3 linked regions of the Caenorhabditis elegans genome follow. The protein of the gene in region 3 interacts with the protein of the main gene of each other region in a pairwise test. Each region holds a gene or a part of one and is shown on either strand. Other genes may lie near its edges. The genes, in order: C17F4.7, fem-2 and casy-1.

Evidence for each region.
Region 1: the proteins of casy-1 (region 3) and C17F4.7 interact in a two-hybrid assay, tested with the Caenorhabditis elegans proteins (one large-scale study listed by BioGRID).
Region 2: the proteins of casy-1 (region 3) and fem-2 interact in a two-hybrid assay, tested with the Caenorhabditis elegans proteins (one large-scale study listed by BioGRID).

Annotation. Positions count from the first base shown.
Region 1 is NC_003280.10:3,243,268-3,248,715, forward strand, and holds C17F4.7 (MD-2-related lipid-recognition domain-containing protein), read right to left. Parts: upstream 2,749-5,448; 5' UTR 2,719-2,748; coding exon 2,257-2,718; intron 2,001-2,256; coding exon 1,902-2,000; 3' UTR 1,820-1,901; downstream 1-1,819. Other genes in the region: C17F4.12 (uncharacterized protein), read right to left, coding at 424-549, 598-758, 816-888; fbxc-50 (F-box domain-containing protein), read right to left, coding at 3,106-3,322, 3,941-4,684, 4,766-4,851; C17F4.2 (Neuropeptide-Like Protein), read left to right, coding at 5,424-5,448.
Region 2 is NC_003281.10:630,141-637,345, forward strand, and holds fem-2 (Protein phosphatase fem-2), read right to left. Parts: upstream 4,487-7,205; 5' UTR 4,433-4,486; coding exon 4,394-4,432; intron 4,340-4,393; coding exon 4,000-4,339; intron 3,589-3,999; coding exon 3,392-3,588; intron 3,342-3,391; coding exon 2,732-3,341; intron 2,433-2,731; coding exon 2,269-2,432; 3' UTR 1,879-2,268; downstream 1-1,878. Other genes in the region: T19C3.6 (uncharacterized protein), read right to left, coding at 248-412, 719-847; eakr-4 (EAK-4 Related), read right to left, coding at 4,753-5,100, 5,158-5,280, 5,341-5,400, 5,455-5,553, 5,902-6,027; sbds-1 (Ribosome maturation protein SBDS), read right to left, coding at 6,573-6,998. UniProt on the Caenorhabditis elegans protein: Dephosphorylates auto-phosphorylated Ca(2+)/calmodulin-dependent protein kinase unc-43/CAMKII in vitro. Involved in the regulation of sex determination.
Region 3 is NC_003280.10:5,952,462-5,959,362, forward strand, and holds the start of casy-1 (Secreted calsyntenin-1), read right to left. Parts: upstream 4,223-6,901; 5' UTR 4,184-4,222; coding exon 4,108-4,183; intron 4,055-4,107; coding exon 3,950-4,054; intron 3,264-3,949; coding exon 3,160-3,263; intron 2,936-3,159; coding exon 2,044-2,935; intron 1,999-2,043; coding exon 1,204-1,998; intron 1,154-1,203; coding exon 1,005-1,153; intron 949-1,004; coding exon 787-948; intron 1-786. UniProt on the Caenorhabditis elegans protein: Cell adhesion molecule involved in associative learning and memory.

The sequences.
Region 1 (5,448 bases), 2.7 Mb from region 3:
AAGTCAATTTTTTATTTATTAAGAAACCTAAATCGCGGATTACATTATTTCTTTTTATCGGATCTCCTTCGATTCTGTAATCAAAGTCCTTTGCATTACTACCTAAGCTTATACAAACGGTTTTTGTATTGTTTAGGGCTAGTTTTGAGGATTTAGACCAGTTAACAATAACGTTTATAGCTTCCTGAAGTGGACTAGTTAGTGAGCTTTTGGAGATTTTGGTATAAAGCTTGAGGTCATCTGCAAATTGTTTACAGTAAACATTCGCGGGGAGTATGTCCTGAGTAGCTGAGTTTGAGTTTGAGTATGTCCTGAGTTTGACTGAGTAGCGACTCAGCGAATCTCCAAATAGCTTTAACTCGGCTCAACGTTGGCATAGAGCTTTGGTTCAAAAACTAGAGTTCATTTCAAACAAAATTTTATTCAATCAAAAAGTGGCTGCTGGTAGAATTTCTCCAAATCCCGTAGCTCCGAGTTATACACGATGACACGTGGCTCATTGGATTGAGTAGCCTCCCGGTAGGCAAGCATTGGGTTGTAGAATTGCAGCTGGAAATTGAATTGTTTGTTGGAAATTTTTGAAAAAAACTAACTTACTGATTTAGAATCAGGGGTGACTATCATTTGGAACGGGATTTTCAGAGTTGGCCGGGTGCCATAAGTCGTGGGATTTTCTTGAATAGAATTGGCTTCAGGGAAATTTGAAATTTCTGGGATTTGACTATTTTCTGCATATTGAGCTGGAAAGTTGTTGAATACTGAAAATTTTAAATTTCAGATTTTGGCGGAATCAATTTTTGATGATATAAACCTACCTCTAGCTTTAACAAAAATATGGGTGCAGCTCAATATCAGGTAGCAAATCACAATAGAATTTTGATAAAGCATTGTTCAAATCACAAACTAGACTTTTCAATCTTATCACGTCTTCATTCCTTTTATCCCCTACATTTTGCAAGGATAAGCTAAACCGGTTTGGGATCATATGACACAAAGGTCGGGAAGGGAGAGAGTGTTAGGTTGGGTTGGGGGAACCTGGGTTTTTGAAATGTTTAAAGGATATTGTAAATTTACAACAATGATTAACCAGTAAAGTATTTAAGTTTTCGACCAAACTCGGAAAAATATAAGTTTTTCAAAAATAGTGAAAATTAAAAGCTCTAAAAATCCGCCTGTGTTTAAAAATTTTTCTCGAAAACTGTTTTCCAAAATTAAAAAAAAATTACTGCAAAAAACTGTTAACTACACAAATGCCTGTAAAAATTTGAAAAATTTAGGTTTCTCGCCAATTCTTCAAATTTTAATATTTTTTTGAAAAAAAAAATTATTGCAATTTCCCACATGTAATATTAACTTTATAATAAGTTGTTTTTTGTTTTTCTGGTTTTTTTTTCAATATCTAAAAAGTGTACTAGAAGTTTGACCCCCCCCCCCCCCCCTCGAAGAAGTGATAGCGAACAGGATAATCTTGAGATAAAAGGGAAATTGGAAAGTGACACGGATTGAACTTTTGGGAATTTGGAAGAGATGTGTAGGAAAACTACAAATTAAAAATTTGTTGAAAAATTCAGAAATTAATTTTTTTTAATGTTAAATAATTTCTAGACTGCAAAAATTATAGAAAAAATTGAAATGCTTTACACATTTCTGAAAAATTCTGTAGTTTTTTTTTTGGAATTTTCTGAAATTTCCTAAAAAATCACAAATACTAAATATACGCATTTTTATGACCTCTGCTCCGATAATGAGCAGTTCTCCATCACCGACATCCTTTTTATGACCCTGCCATAAAAATGTTTGATTTTTGAAAATAATGAAACAAGTTACTTTTTTAGTAATATTTTCAATTGTCATGCGCATATGTATTTATTATCGAGCATATCAAAATGTACAAAAAAAAATTAGGAGAGCTCAAGTTGTGCCATAACACAGGCAATCTCTTCGTGCTTTGTATTTCCTGGATTGTGGTTGAACATGCGGATTTCCAGTTCGTAGGGCTTCTGAAAATGAGAAAACAGTGAATTTAAAGAAAATTTTGAGATCACAATGGAGTGTATGTAGTTTGTAGTTTGTGACGTCGCTAGTTTGAAACTGGAACATCTCAAATTCTAGCACATACTGCTGTACTGTAGGAGTTATGTTTTCAGATAATGTAAGGGTACTGTAGGATAACTGTTTTCCTAGATTACCAAAGGATTCATTTAAAGTTATTGTGGTTGGGTACTGTAGGAGTACTGTAGGGGTACTGTAACTTACATGCGCAGCCAGAAGCTCAATGATGACAGAAAACTGGCTCAAATCCAACGGCAAAATCAAAAACAGCGGTCCTGACTCCAACGGGCAATTGTGTGCAAAATCACAGCCATCAATATCATCCAACAATCCAAAAGTGGGAATCGACTTCCAAGAGCATCCACCAGTCCATCCTGACTTGTACTGATTGATTTTCACTTTCACCTTATTATCATCAATTTGTTCTCCATGATTGTAAGTGGTAAGGTTCAGAATAAACGGATGGCGGGGGTCAATCGGGTAGTAGGGCTTCTGATTAGAGTCCAAAGTCTGAATATCGGTGATTGAAAATTGCTCATTGTCGGAGCACATGTAGGAGTGAATCGCCTTGTCAGTACCATTTGGGAATGGGCAGTCTGCAAAGTTGACCGGGTTGGCTCCGATGGTGAATGCTCCGACGAGCAGGAGAAACAGAACTGATAACATAGCCAGAAAAGTGCAATGGTTTCCTAGTTTGGAGCGGGGTTTTATATGCTGAAACCAGTCACACCACCCTTATCAGTTTAACTATTTTGTGTCGCATAGTTAATATGTGGATGACGCTGAACGAGCCATAAAAGTGCAGTTAGTGAAGTAGTGATAAGGAAAATTGGCTGCTTGGTTTTTGAAGTTTGGAAACCATATGAAAAACGGAAATTGAAAATTAAATTGCAATCTCCGGATTCCAATTACAAACTACCTATGTAAGACCTGAGATGTCCGGTAGACTGCCTATTTTCAGAGAAATTTCCAGCTTCCAGCAAATTATCAAAATCTAGATATTCCAATTTATTTAATTACTATTATAAAACACAATAAAATTCTATACAAAATTTAATAACGACACAAATGCTTCGACTTTCCAACTCCCTCCACTTTGTCCATAAACTCGTCGAGCAATGTTTCAATCATATAGTACAACTTGTTGAGGCCAACTCGGTCGATTGTGATGGTGAGCAACCATTTCTCGGGGCTCTTCTTTTCACAGTACGCGTAGATTTCCATGGTGTCACTCACGGTGTAGACAATCACATTGGGGAACTCTTCGCATCTGAAATAATAGATAAATTAATGAATGACAAGGTAAAAAGCGCCGTAAATCTACAAGAAAACATTTACAATTTGGCAGAAATTTAAGTAAATCTACATGAAAATCCGCAAGTCTACACAAAGATCCGTAAATCTTTACGTAGGTTCGTAAATCTACACTTGCTTCCGTAAATCTACACGTCCTTCCGTAAATCTACACTGGCGTCCGTAAATCTACACCTACCGTAAGTTCACACATTCCTCTTGTAAATCCACATAGTCTTCCGTAAATCTACACTATCTACTTCCCGTTTATCTACGCCACCTACCGCAAGTTCACTCATTCCTTCCGTAAATCTATGTGTAGATCCGTAAATCTACACAGTCCCCGTAAATCCACACTAACCCCCGTAAATCTACACTAGCCCCCGTAAATCTTCACGGGCTCCTGTAAATCTACACTAGCTTCCGTAAACCTACACAATCTCCCGTAAAACTACATGTGCTTTCGTAAATCTACTCAACTTTTCGTGAATCTACACAGACCACCTATATCCTCACATTCCTCCGTAAATCTACACCTATTCCCGTAAACCCACACTAAAAACCGTAAATCTACCTAACTACCCGATAAACTCACACTTTTCCAAAAAATTTGATCGGATCCTTCTTTCCGGCGTCGCCAAGCACCTCAGACAACGCGAACACTTGCTTCACCAGCTCCGGATTTGACAGCGTGAACTTGTAGTGGAAATTACCGGCAGTTTTGATATTCTCCGTAGTCCCATCGGCCCATTTCTCGATAAGCCGCATAAAATCGTCGACCGTGTAGTCGTCCGCGCTCTCCAAATGAATCCTCTTGTTCGGAAGGCTGCAAAGGAAAGAAACCGGCACCGAACGTCCCAGGATCACCAGCTTCTTTGCGTTTTTGCAAGCATCGTGACTGAAGTTCTCGAATTTCTCAAAATCCTTGTGCCCAATCACATAGAGCCTACGAAGCGGGAAGCTCTTCTCATCAAGCATCTTGCTCAGCGAGCCCATCACCGAAGCCACGTTGGATTGGATCGTCAAGCAGAGAGCCTTCACTTTCAGGGACTCCGGGAACTTTAAGACTTCCGAATTGGGGATGAGAAGAAGCCCGATGCTCAGAGGCTCCTGGTATCCACTGAGCAGTCGGGAAATGAGATCCTCCATGGAGTGACGTGAGGGCTCACGGATTTGCTGGCCGGTCCGCTTGTCGAGCACGGTAAGCTGCCCATCGCCGAGTTGATACTCCACCGCGTTCACGAAAAGCTTGTCCTGTAGGAGGGTGAGCTCATAGACGTAAAGTGGCACTGACTTCTCAAAGGATCGCAGAGATGGGCATTGCTGGGAGAGGTGGAATCTGGAAAATAAAGGTTCGAATTTGCGAAATATTTTTTATTTATTTTTAAAATTAAATTTAAAAAAAAACTACGAAACTGACCGCTGATTCGCATCCATGAACCGAAGAATCGACTTCAAGCACTCGTCGGAAAATCCACTGGTCGTTGAAAAATTACCTGTCTCCATTGGGAGGAATAACAGATATGAATGACTGTTTCCTGTGCACAACGCCGCCGGAAAATGGACAAAATCTGTCTGTTTCTCTGCGTCTCCTCACTCAGTGCGCTCTCTCGCCGGCAGCTGTTCGCGCGGTGTATACAGGCGGCAGCGATGAAATTGGCGGTGTGGTTTTTTTTGATCTACCGAGGAAATTGGAGAAATTTTTAGGGGTTTGGGTTAGAAAAAATGAAAAAAAAAAAAGATTTTTATGTATTTCAGAATAATCTGAAAGCTTCTATCTTGGGAAATTATCGATTTTTTAAAATTTTTTCCAGGAATTTCGCAATCCTAGGCCTATGTCTTAGCCTAAGCCTAAGACTAAGACTAAGCCTAAACAATTCTGACTTTTGTAGTTTTTTGTAAATACTGAACCTTTTCCCGAACTTCTATTTCTTTTTAACCCCCTTTACATGTGATAATCGATAAGGAAAAGCCGAGAAACCCAATAAAATCCAGTTTTCCGAGAAACTTATCGCACTGATAACCCTATCTTCTTTTCACTTTCCACCATTTTTCTCGTCAAATAAACCGTAAAAATTATGAAGAAAATCTTATTTTTCTTGT
Region 2 (7,205 bases), on a different chromosome or scaffold from region 3:
TTTGTGCAGTTTTTTGCTCCACCGTGGGGCAAAATATTTCTAGTAAGCTGTCAAATATTATAAAATTCAGTCAAACGGCTCTGGAGTTATTAATGAAAACGTAGTGTGACATTTTTTCGCAAGCCAAAAAAAACGCGAAAAAACGCGAAAAAGGGGCGGAGTCTGTACACTCGGCATTTATTAGAGGCTGCTTGGCAGAATTTCTAAACAAAAACCTTTAAAAAATCAATATTACATTCCAACTAACCCGTATCTTGTGATTCATTGAGGCTTCGGTCTGCTTCTCCCTCTCAATTCTAGCCAAACATGTTTTCATAGCCTTGCATTCAGCGAATATACTTTTCATAGTGTCTTTCATGGCGAATCTTGCGTAGGATTCGAACGTGTCGAATATATTCTCCCCAACACGGATCTGGAAAGCTACAAAAAATTCGAAGACAAAAAACTATTTTTTTCTTTTAATTCGACACTTAACTGATGAAGGAGGGCGTTGTCAGAGTCCCATTTCGGTTTGATCTACGCAGATCTACAAAAATGCGGGAGTTGAGACGCAGAGTTCTAAAATGATTTCGCATGGTCAGGAACGTGCTGACGTCACATTTTTCTGGGCGAAAAATTCCCGCATTTTTTGTAGATCAAACCGTAATGGGACAGCCTGGCACCATGTGTGGTAGGCTTGGTGTAGGCATAGCATTAAAATCATAAAAAATCATCTCACCTCGGTAATCTCATCCAAGTCATTGTAGTCGAACTCTACACCCATAAATTTGCACAAATGCTTCTTGGTAACCGAATTTTGGAGCAAACGATACTCTCGCCGTCCCAGAATACTTGTAACCAATCCCATCGCAGAAAATCGAGTGAAAATGAGAAAAAAAAAGTGAAGTCGACCAAATTTTATATGCGCCTCTAATTGTTTTTCTCAGAATTTGGCAGGGGGTGTCGTATATGAATTTGGATACTGTACAAAATTGGGTGAAAAATTATAAATATGCCGTTTTTGTGCATCTTCTAATTGTTATTGTCTACATGACTAGAAATTGTGATGAATAGAAAAAAAAGGGAACAATTTAATAATAATTCAGATTTTTAAAGGGTTATATGTATATCTTCCTAATAGTAAGTTCATTTTAATATATCATTTTTATAAATTAAAGTTATTCGACGCAAAAAACGGCGAAAATCGAGGCTTAAACTGCAAAAACAATTATTCGAAATGCTCTGTGACGTCACAAAATTTCAAAAAATATTTTCACGCTTTTCTGGCGCAGTAGAGCGATGGGACAGTCTGGCGCCACATGTCGGTGAACATTGGGTTACTGTAGCTCCAAAAGTATGTAAGTACTGTGGCAACACCAAATTTGACGACAAAATGCTGAAAATTTGTAAAATCACCAATGACGCTAAATTAGAATTTCGTATCGAAAATTTAAAAAAAATCAAATTTTGTAAAATTCCACCATAAAAAAAAATTAAATTCAAAATTTTTTGGACCAAATCTTTTTTCCTTAAAACGCGCCCAAACCTGGCTAAACTGCAATTATCAGTAGAGCGCGTTTACACTGATGTACCCTTTGCCGGGCCGTGTTTCAGCTAAATTCTGCTTTCTTTGTTAATAGAGCGCATTTGCTGTAAGCGGGAAATTTGAAATTCCCTCTTGAAAATATGACTTTTTTAATCATTTTTTCGCGGTGTTTTCGAGCTTTTCTTTCGAAAAATCCCGGATTTTCAATTGAAAAGGAGATTTTCTACTGAAAATGACTGGTATACTCCGATTTTTTACATTTTTCACGAGTTGAAAAGTTTACAGTCATTTATGAAAATTCAGTGTTCAAAAAGTGTCTCAAAAACCTATTCAGCTACTCAATATCCCAGTAATTCCACGTCATTATACAATTTATATCATAAAATAAATTCAAATCAAATATATGTTCAAGTGGAGGAGGAGAAGGAAAGTACTCGGATTTTTGGTGGGATGCCAACTGGTTGGAAACGTATGTAAATGTGAAATGCTACAGGAACACCGAGAACAAAATATGTGTGTGGGTCACGGAAAGCTGCTAGATAACGGGGAGAAATGACGACGATATGGTGAATAGGAGAGAGAAAATTGGAATACCCAAAAAACAAATAGACACAGGAAAACAGGGGAAAATTTGATAAAATCGACCGAAAATTAGGAAAAAAAACGACAAAAATTTGAGAAAATCAACCGAAGTTTAGCAAGAATTTTCCCAATTTTCAGGCAAAATTTCCACCGAAAAGCAGTTATTCCTCATCAGTGACATCGGAATCTTCATCGTCTGATTCATGTTTCATAAGCTTCCACACATCCTGCGGTGGACGCAAAAAGCCAATCACAACAGACACGTTGTCGGCACTTCCAGCCTCAATCGCTTTTGTACAGATGAAACGGGAGAGCTCCGCGTAGTCTGAAAAAATTTTTTTTCGATTTTTAAAGAATTTTCTACATTAAAAAATAAAGTAACGTCGGCTAATGTTTTTTACCTTAAAAATAATTTTGAATGGTTTTTTTAAAAATTGATTTTTTCAAATTTTAGTAAATTACCCGATTTTCTTTTTTAAAAATACAATAATTCGAAAATCTTTACTTTTTTTTTTGAAAACCCCCGAAAAATAGCCAATCTTCTGATTTTTTTTCAGAAAAAAAAAACGAAAAAATAGTTTTTGGCTTTGGAAATTTAGTTTTTCTCCAAGAATTTTTATTAACCTTCAACAGGATAATCATTCGCAAATGCCTCCACCAACTGGTACAGGTCACGCTCGTTGAAAACATCAGAAATTCCATCACAAGCCAGGAGCACCAGATAATCCGAGCTTTCAATAGGCACCTGACACGTTTCCGGTTCATTAGAGATCATCGGCCGTCCAGGAACATCTCCGAGTGCTCGGGTGAGATTTAGAACTCCGTTCACCCGCAATTCGCCTCCAATCACAAAAAGCTGGCCGCCAGCTTCCTCAACACGCCGAGCTTCCCGTTCATCGGATGGCGAGTGTCCACGTGTCAACTGACGGAATTCAATGTTCGACATGACGTATCCGGGTGAGTCACCGAGCCACGCCAGCGCCATAAGCTTCTGATCCATGTCGATTGCACAGCAGACAGCTGTACTTCCACCCTTCCAACACTCTTTCACACTTCTGACAGTCATTCGTTCGTCGAGAAGCTCCAGCGACTTGCGAAGCTGATCTTCGAGGCTATCTGAAGGATCTCGCGATTTTCGAACCTCCAACCATGTCTCCCAAAGGTGCCCGGCTGCGTACTGAGAGCACTCGTGACCACCGTGACCATCGAACACCGCTAACACCGAAATTGGATCCTAAAAATTTCATTTTTCAGTAATTTTCCAGGCCTAAAATCCTCCTAAACCTCTCCACGATCCATATATTGCCCATTAGGATACGCCAAAAACCGATCTTCTTGCTTGTGACGTTGCCCTTTCAGTTGATCGCCCGACACGTGGATTCCAGACCACTTTTCAGACAGAATCGGGCACGTTTCGGCGTTTTGCTGGAGAATCTTGTCGATCGCCGGCCAAATTTTGTCGTTGAATAGCTTTTTGGCTTCTGAAAATAAGTTGTATTGATGAACAGAAGTGTTGAGTTTTTGAAGATTTTTTAAAAATTCTATTTAACAAGTTTTATTTTTGCAAAAATTAGCAGATCAATGGGGAATGGCCAGCTAAAAATATTTAGCAGACCAATGAGGATAGGTCTGCTAAATATTTAGCAGACTCATGGTAGGTATGCTAAATATTTAGCAGACCCATAGGTGGTCTGCTAAATAATTAGCAGACCCATAGTTGGTCTGCTAAATAATTAGCAGACCAATGGGGATGGGTCTGCTAAATATTTAGCAGACCCAAGTTAGGTATGCTAAATATTTAGCAGACCAATGGGGATAGGCCTGCTGAATATTTAGCAGGCCCATGCTTGGTCTGCTAAATTAATAGCAGATTTTGCACATTTAATAATTACCTGTGGTACTATCGGTAACATAAATATCAGGATTATACTGAACATCTCTGAACGCAACTTCACTGAATTTCTCGTCAATTTCTGTGGCGATCAAGTGAGACACCCAGTGACAAAAGTCGACCGCCTGGCCTCTTTTCATCATTTTCTGGAAAATGTCGTGAATCGCGTCTCCGAAAACATCATGAACTGGTCCGGCGATTGGTGGATGACGGAAACGTATTGGAATATGCGGTTGTGGAGTGTCGGCAACCTCGACGTCATAGCTAGTTTTCTCCATTTCATCTGCAAATGCCTCCTCCAGAAGTGACCGGACACTTCGACGGCGATCGCCGATGTGATCCTGGAATATACATTTTTCTAACTAGCATTAAATATATAAAATCCCGTTTTCTACCTCGAAAACCGCATCCCGCTCCTCGTTTACTTTTTCCATGTATTTTTCCAGTTTTAAAACCACTACCGGCTTCGGTGGGACAGCTGGGTTGATCTGACATTTCAATAATTGTTTTTAACATAAAAATCAGAGAAAAACCGAGAAAAAACAATGGATTTCAACACAAAATGAGGAAAAATCAACAAAAAAATAATGCAGAATTTTCTGCACCAGAAACGCGCAAAGCTTCTCGTTTGCGCACTTTCGGTGCGTTGGCGCGTTTCTCGCGCGAAATATTAATTTAATTCGCATTGTATTGTATTAATAACATTTTTATCAAATCAAAAATGGATCAAAAATTTAAAATAAAAATCAATTATTCATATATATCCATGCGCGCCAAGATAATCCCACTCCACATTCGGCGTCTGTACTTGGCTGTCCAAAAGATCCCATTCCTTCACTTTCGCCCTCTCCGCCCAATTACATGCTTCATATTTGTGGATATATGTCTCCTTGAAATGCTCCCATAGCTCATTTGCCACGCGATACTGAAACTCCACGTGGCATCGGAATTCAGCGGGGTCGGCTCTAAGCTTGGGTAGCGAGTTGTAAGCTTGAACTGCGGCATTTTTTCTCAACTGGGCGTACTTATCGATTTTCCACGTGGTTAGTAAGAAGAAGTCCTTGTAAAGAATAAGAAGAGTATCGATGATTTCACCGGTTTCCTGGAAAAATCGCAGATTTTTCTTGAGTTAACTCAAACGCCATTGAAGGCCGCCTACCTCATCCTCAGCACCCAAATTCTGAAGTTCCCTGCATTTTCTCCGAATCTCGTACAACGTTTTTTTATACTTGTCGCGAACCTCGTTGTTCTCTACTTCAATGACTCGTTGTCCGGCGGGAAGCTGAATTCATTAATTCAGTTCTTGATAAATGTAATTTTGAAAAAAATATGTTTAAAAAACCTCGGCAACGTCAATTCTACCGTTATTCGAGAGGGTGATCGGTGTGCGCTTGTAGATTTCCTAAAAATTTATAAATTTGAGAAAATCCGTGCCCGTGATTAAGAATATTCTCACCTCAAAAATATCCGGTTTTTTGATAATCTCGTTACTTTTCGAGTAAAGTACACAGGGGCGTTCAACATTTTCCTCCTCGGGATTCACAGAGATTTTGACCTGAAAATTTCTTGAGCTTAGGTATAGGCATACGTTTAGGTATTGTCAAAGGCATAGACTTAGAAATTGGCATAGACTTAGGCGTAGGCTTTGGCTGAGGCCTAGGCTGAGTCTTAGGCTTTGGCTGAGTCTTAGGCTTAGGTGTGAGCTTAGTCTTAGGCTAACCTTTAGGCTTAAGCTTAGGTGTAGGCTTAGGTTTAGGCCTAGGCTTATGCGTAGGCTTAGGCTTGTGTCTCCAGGCATAGGCTTAGGTTTAGACTTAAGCTTAGATTTGTTTTTTTTTTCGAAGGTTTCTCAGCAAAAAAGATTGAAAACATAAGACTCTGAAAAAAAAACGAAAAATATTACCTTTGGGTCCCGTTCAGCAATACGTGGGCTCTCTTTCACCGCAACTGGGCCTGCCAGCTGATAGACGCTGGAAATATTATCTGTAGCTGAATCTACAGTGCACAGGGTTCCAAGACATTGCCCCATTATCGGTTGTGACAGGGAAATAGAGGATTACTTGGCGAAGGCTCAACTTGGTAGGCCGCCTAATTTACAGTACCCCACGACTGCCTTGTTTTCGACTAGTCCGGGTTATTTTTAAATTTTGTTGGAAAAACAACAAGAAAATTGTACAATTTCATGAATTTCGCTGGCCTGGTGAGTACTGTAAATTATGCAAAGTGATGGAAAATAAATATTGAACGAATTTTTTTCGAGCCGGGGAAACTTAGAGAATTAGTTTTCTAGCCTTCAAATCATGTTCCTGGGGTTTTTTTCCAAATTGTTTTTCTCAAAAATTTGTAAGATTAACACTTTTCATTTAAAAGCAATAATGATTTCTGAAAACCTGACACAAAAAGTTTTTGGTAACTGGGAAAAAACATGGGAACGTTGATGATAACAATTTGAGATCCAAAAAGAATTCTCGGGTGTGTGGAGGGGAAAAAAAGAAAAACACTCAAAAATGTCTGCACATTTTGAGTGCAAAAGAGCAAAAAAGCAACAAAAAAATAAAATTTTTAACATGAAATTTAAGAAATCTGCAATTCTCCTTCGACGACATCCTTCAAGCTGAGAATCTCCAATCTTCCGTGTCCCTTCGTCTCATTTCGGACCAAATCGTCCAAAGCTCTGAACGATCCGGGCTCAATGAGCCCAACCATCTCGAGGCTTCCATCCTGCCAATCGTCAACTTCCACGTCACTGAATAGGGTTTTAAGCTTCGTGTGCACGGATTTCGCTTCTTTTGTCGGAATCGCCACACGGATCTTCATCTTGGCTCGTTCGATTTTCAGAGTTTCACGAAGTTTTGGAATTGCGTCGAGAGCCTGCTGCTTTGAGGAACGATTCGGTTTCAGGGAAAAGTGCATTTCTTGTAGAGCTTTATCGATTACTGACGGTGGAACTGGACGCTTCGTTTCAGGATTTACGACCATTGAGGCAATCAGCTGGGATACCTGGAAAATTGAGATTTTTCAGGATTTTTTTGAAGAAAAATTAAAAATTTTCAGGAACTTGTTTGGGAGAAAATTAAGATTTTTTAGGAATTTTTAGAAAAAATTGGGATTTTTCAGGAATTTTTTTGGAGGAAAATTGAAATTTTTTAGGAATTTTTTAGGAATTTTTTAGAGGAAAATTGAGATTTTTCAGGAATTTTTTTGGAT
Region 3 (6,901 bases):
CTATGTATGAGTGTGGGCGAGGAAAACGAGAAGATTATCGAGACCCTTTTACATGAGATTATAGCTAATTTTTTACGCAGTTTTTAATTTTTCAGGAGGATTATGTCATAGTGCCAAGAACTTAAAGGTGGAGTAGCTATAAAATAGTCTGAAGTTCTTGAAAAAAAAATTGCGGAGCGAATCGCTGATTGGTGTTGCAGTTTTCATTTTGGATTTAACTCAAACATGGAGATTAATTATTTTTTTAATGTCAAATTTCTGAATTTAGAGTTTATTTTGTCAATTTAAAGCAATATTCTCAATCACGCTACTCCGTTTTTAAGAATCAGAATACAAAAGGAACTCGGAAACAACTATTTAGATATCAACAAATATTCTAAACTATAGACATGAAAAAAGGACGATCCAAGTGCGTATTGCACAAATGATGGCAATTTCTAAATGGAAGACACAAATTTTCCTTCTATCCATCTCACTCTAAAACCCATTTTGAGGCGATGAAAACAGACGGGGCGCTCTCTCAAATCATTATATGCTGCTGAGAAGAGCAAGGACATAAATGGATTTTGTACATAATGTGAAAAAGATTTCTTCTGAGAATGAATGAATGAGTAATTACAGTGGAATGTGAGAAGAGATTCTCGGTTTCTTGAGCCCTTAAGTTTTTATAGGATCTTGAGCAATGAAACTAGAAATTGATAGACTTAGAATAGTTGAGCTCCAAACTTTCAACGCCGTAAGACATAATGTGAGATAGAAAAAACTTGAAGATCCATAAAAACTAACCGTGACAAACAACTGATTGCTGAGTACTCGGCCCTTGAGCATGGCACACTGGACGGTGTAGACACGTTTGGCGTATGATTCTGGTCGAGTGTTGAAATAATGAACCTTCGAGAGCACTTCCTTGTACCCTTGAGCGCTTTCCTCTCCGCGAAGAAGGATGCCCTGAAGAGCAGGAAATTAGAAGATTGAAATCAGATTTGAATCTGTCTGGGACTTACGTCTTTGTCATGCTCAAACTCAATGTTAAGAGCTGCAATGAGTGAAGCCGGTGATGAGAAGTACTCTACATCCATATCACGTGCTGGTTGCAAATGCATCTTACAGTAATCAATCTTGTGGGATTGGGTGACATCTTCGAGTTCTCCGTCTGAAAATGAAATTCCGAAATGTTTCTTATTATTTGCATTTAAAACTTACCAGCATTGTTTTGGCTGATGGTTATGGTGAGATCTGGAACCATAGCTTGTCCAACCTTAACCATGTGTTGATTACTTTTGAGTTGAGACGAAGCAGAGATTGAAAGAGTTGGTTCAGCGGCTTGTTGAACAAAAACGTATCCTTTGCTGGATGGTAGCTTCATCTTCTTGTCATCTTGTTTGCAAGTAACCTCAGTCTCAACAAGGAAAACACGGTGTCCTGGAGCTGGTTTCTCTTGAGTGTTAACATAGGCAACTCTCTTGAGCATTTGACCAATTTGCTTTGATGTTTCAGCCTTCAATGTAAGAGAGGTTTGATCTGGAGAGAATGTTGCACTTTGGCTTTCAAGAAGCTCATCAACTCCGGTGAACTGAAGTTGTTCTGGGCAAGTATGAGCGCATTTTATTGCACGTTCACTTTCAACAGCTCCAGAGAGAAGATAAAGAGAGGAAAGTTGTCCACGGAAGAACTGTGCAAGTTTCTGTTGCCGTCCGTGCCAGCACGCTCCTACAACAAGTTTGGTCTTTGTTGCCTTGGTCTTGTGAAGCGGCCAATCGTCGAGGATTTCAGGATTTCGTTCGTCAGCCTTAAAGCTCTTTCCATCGACGATAACATTAACATCATCGATGCCATTGAAGAGAAGTGAATATGAATGCCACTCATTATCGCATACTTCTGGCATTGACCAACGCCATTCAGCAGCACGGAAGTCTGAAGTGGCTCCAGCTTCACGGCGGAGAACAACCTCCAATTTGCAGTGACGAATGTAGACAGAGAAGTGATGACGGTTCATGTCTGAAAACACATATTCACTGGTTGTTTCTAAAAGAGATAACTCACTGAAATCATCACTTTCGCAAAGAATGTTCTGCTTGTTACTTTGCTCGTCCTTAGTTCCTGCAGCATGTTTCATGGAGAAGCTCAATGTGAAGTGATCCGGAATGAGTCCTTGATGATTTTCATCAGAGACAGTCACTCCTCTGGCTCCATCAAACTCAATTCCTTGATCAGCAAGAATCTGATTCTCAGCCGAGCTGGTAAGGGCTTCTTCGTTCAGCAATTTGACAGTAGCAGTTGAAAGTCCACAAGATTGAATTGTCTGATTATCATAGACAGTGTCTCTTGCACAACCTTGAGTAACGTGTCCAGCACGAAGTTCAATGACTGACTGCACACTCTTTGGTTCACAAATTGTTTCCTTTTCACAGAATTCAAGAGATACGTCTGGGAGGAGAAGCTTTGATCCAACTCCTGGAGCATAGTTGACACGCTCATTCATTGCAGTGATTCCTTGAACACATTTCTCATCAACGTGAACAGTGACCAGAGAACTTTTGCTTTTCCTCATTGCGCAGTCAATAGCGACTACAGTGAGAATGTATGATTTTGATTGAGTAAAGTTGAGTGGCTGAGTTGTACGAAGGACTCCATGATTGTTAATGGCGAACGGAAGTTCCTTAAGTCCATTTGTGATCTCATATTCACAGATTTCTCCGTTTGGATGTCCACAGTCTTTGTCAGATGCCTTCAGTACTCCAACTTCCTCAACAACTTTTCCCTCTTCCACGTGGAATGTGTACCAAGGGTTTTCGATTTCTGGAGCATGATTGTTGGTGTCCTTGACACGGATCTTCAGAGACACTCCTTCACTCTTCACATTGTCGTTATCGCATTTCACAGCTTGAACTTGAAGATTGTATTCTGGCTTCTTGCAGTCTAGTGTGGCAGCATCCTGAATAATAAATGTTTGAACTTTAATGGTGACTCATCAAGAATTAATTTTCTTTAGAAATATTGAATAAAGTTTAATGAAAATTCCTTCTAAGAACACATTGATTTTTAAGCTTACAAAACGGTTTTCCACTAATTATCTGATACACACGAATTAAAATATGAATACTGGAATTTTCATTAGATGCCTATTCTCCAAAAATACATTATGACATCATGTCTCACCTTAACTCGAAGTACAGCTGCTCCAGTGTACTTATCAACAACCTGGATGTCGAATGGCACTGGCTCATTGTTCTGTGATGTAAGGAGGTAGTTGCATACTGGCCCTGAAAATTCCCTCAAATTGTATTCGCTTTATTTTTGTTTCAATTTCAAATTGTGGATAGATATTCCAATTTTTCTAGCTTGTCTTTCATTCCATCACCCGTCTTTTTCAATTCATGCTCTCTCGAATCATCGGCTGTCATGTCATGTCATAGTTAATCCCTCTTCTTTTCTCTTTCTTTTCCACGTCAATCCCTTCGTGTTCTACATCGTCGTCGTCGTCGTCGGTGGCTCGTAATCCTGTGTGTGTGTGTATGGAGCCAGGCTGACAACGACAACGATGCTTCATCATCAAAGAGAAAACAGAGAAAATGCGTGAAAAGAAGAAGAAACATGAAAAAAGAAAACGAAACAATTAATGAGAGGCTGCATTGCTTTTTCGATGAGATTTTTGTGCAAATGAGGTGGGCATGTCAGGAAGGAAACACGAGGGAAAAGAAGAAGATTGAGAATGTAAATGCCATGAATACTAATGAGCATGATTATTTAAAGGAAGTAGCTGAATTTTTGTATTTCTCTAATTAGGTTTGTTAGTTTTCACACCTTCAATTAGGAAAAAGGAAAACTATAAAATTTAATTAAAGTTTCTTGTGATCTAACAAGCCGGCTTGATTATAAACATATCTATATGAATCATGATTTTTAATCGTAAGAGCTGAAAACAATTTATTTTAATCTCCCAACTCACCGGTTTCAGAGAGGATTGCAAAATCCGGCACGGTCGAGATAATGTTCTCATCTTCTCGCACGACAGCCACAAGCTCTTCGGCTCCTTGCAGATTGATTATTGGCGCTGAAAATAGATTGGAATTTAAGAACTAACGGCCAATAATCTGTAAGTGTTACCTCGAGCAGCATGGTGATGTTTGGCGTAGGAGACGCCTAGAAGGGCGCCGACAAAAATAAAGTACGCAGTTCGCATATGTGGGTTTGAGTAAGAGAGCCTGGTTGGAATTTGCGTCTGAAAAATGATTGGTTTTGTGTGCGTGAGTAGAGGTCTGCGAGCAGAGAAGGTGAGAAGAAAATAATTGAAGGAATAAGGAAATAACAAAAAGGGCAGAAAAATGAGAAAATGTGTTGAGTGAATGGAGGAAGTAAATGTGGATGTGTTTGGAAAAAAACAGACTAACAGTCTTAGTGGAATGATAAAACTCTAGGCTTTTGGGTATCTGTAGATTTTAAATACCGGAATTTTCAATAAGATAATTGAGTGGAGATTAACCCACCGATCAAAATTCTACGGATTTCGTATTTCTCTGGATTAAAAAAATATTTTTTTGATTTAGATTTAGATTTTTTATTGAAAGAAATTGTGATGATATACAAAACAATGTGTTCAAAAGACGGAACCACATTTTTTCTATCTCTCTCCCTGTCCACCACTACTTCATGCCTCAATCATTTTCCACCCTCACACGTCATTTTTCCGACTTTTTTCTTTTTTGTGAAAATCGTTTCAGCTCTGCAGCTCCTGGCACTGGTCACGCCATAGTTTTCCGGTAAGCCGTCAGGAGCACTAACATTTCGAAATGAAATGGTGGATGGCACGAGCGAGAAAAAAGAAAATGCGGGGAATTTTTCAATTAGGTGTCAAGGAAAGGTTTGTTTTCGGCTGCTTTCTTGAGCTTTTTCTTGAGCAGCGGGTCTTCTCATTCTTATTCGTGCGTCTACTCAACACCGACTATAAATAAATGGCAATATTGAATATGAGAATTCGTTGAAGAGGCATCATTATTTTGATTTAAAACTTCAAAGATCCAGGATTTAGTTTTAAAATGTTTTGGGATTTGGAGTTTGAAACAAAACGAGGGTTGAAATCTAAGAAACTGGAAAAAGTAGAATAAAAAAGAAAAGGAGGAAGAAAGGCAAACGAACAAAATCTGACGTAGATAAATAGCTGTTTTTTCAATGAAAATATGATTGAATTCTAGAAAAAGATTCTAGAAACGAGAAAAAGTGGCTGGAACGGAATGTGAGCCTTGTTGAAGCTGAGAAAGTAGAGCACGAGAGTCAGCATCTGCTCCTCCTACTCATACCATCTAATCTCCTCTTCACATCCGATTATCAGAAAATGAAATATTGAGTGCTGGGGGAAGTTAAGAAAATGAGAAACCAGAGAAAACATTGAGCTGGTTGTCATGGTTTCATGTGGGGAGCTCAGTCGGCAGAGTGAAGTGAGGCACGAAGAAAAAAAACGCCAAAAGAAATCTGAGAATAAGCAAAAGAATGCGAAGAGACAGAAGTTCTTCTTATTCTTCTTTCTTCAAGCATAACATGTGTGGTTTGAATTGAAAATTAGGTAGAAAAAGGGAAGAACCGAACATGCAAAAATCAAGGGTTGAAAAAGGGAGGCAAGAAGGGGAACAAGAAGAAGAAGAAGTTGAGAGTTGTGAAGACAAGCATGCATGTGTCAATAGAGGTGGAGCATTCGAAAGACGAGGCAAACGGAAGAGGAAGGACGCCGCCGCGAAGGGGACGGAGTACGACGAATAAGTCAAATGCTTACAAGATAAAAGGATGATGATCATGATTATGAGTCAACGAGGTCAATCATGTCAAATGGAATATTGATTGATTGAAACAGTCCCAGAATTGGTGTAAAGAAATTGGTGTAACAAGTTAGAATTTAACAACAAAGATGATCAGCACTAGTTCGTATGGATATGCGATACATTTATTTTACCAAGCAACAAAAAACATGAATTCTTGGATTAAAAAATAAGAAATTTTGAAAATATCCAATAAACTTGTATGTGGATTTTTGGTTTTTTTTAGCAAGACATTCTTGGAAAGAACCCAAAAATTCTATGAAATTCGCATTCCTGCTATTAGGTTTAAACAAAAGTTATATTTTTAGTCGATTCAGAGGAAGTACGGTATACGAAAAAGGAGTTTCTAAGATAATTTAATTCATTCTTACTACATTATTTAAAGTATCCGAAAATAGATCAATCTTCAATATTTTCAATTTACAGCTGCTTCAGACTTTTTTTTGTAAATTGTTGTTATCATGGAATGAACTTTTGGGATTTTTGCATTGTTCGCAAATACATATCCGGTAGTAATATTAAACAGTTCCTCGAATTCGAAAACGAAAACAGGTTGACATCCGATATTTTGGGAGGAACAAGAGAATACTGGGAAGGCTATGGAAAGAGAGGGGCACACAATAAATATAATTCCTTATTCATAATTCATCATCTGACACAGCCAATAGCCAAAACACGGTTCCAGTGTATTACCTGATCATGTGGAAAAAGAGGTTTATATGTATTTGAAGAATTTGGCCAGAATGGATAAGATTTCAAGAAAAAAGAAAAAAAAACGAAGAAAAAGACGAAAGCGAAGGAAGTCATAAATGTATCCGTTTAACGGACGATGGCCAGAAGACACGGGAGCGCCGTGCTCTCGTTAGTTTTTACGAGCAGTTTTTTAGTAATTCGATTATCGGATTATGGTTGTGGTGGGTGTGTGGGTAGAAAATTAATAGCCATTGGAATAGAAAAAGTGCGAAGTGTCAAAAACAGATGACAATGATCCGACTGGTTTTTGAGAAGCATCAAGAGGGTATTGATGCAAAACGAAGTGGCGAGGAGTTCTGGAGAAAAATATAGGTTTTTAAAAAATTCTGTTGAAAAAT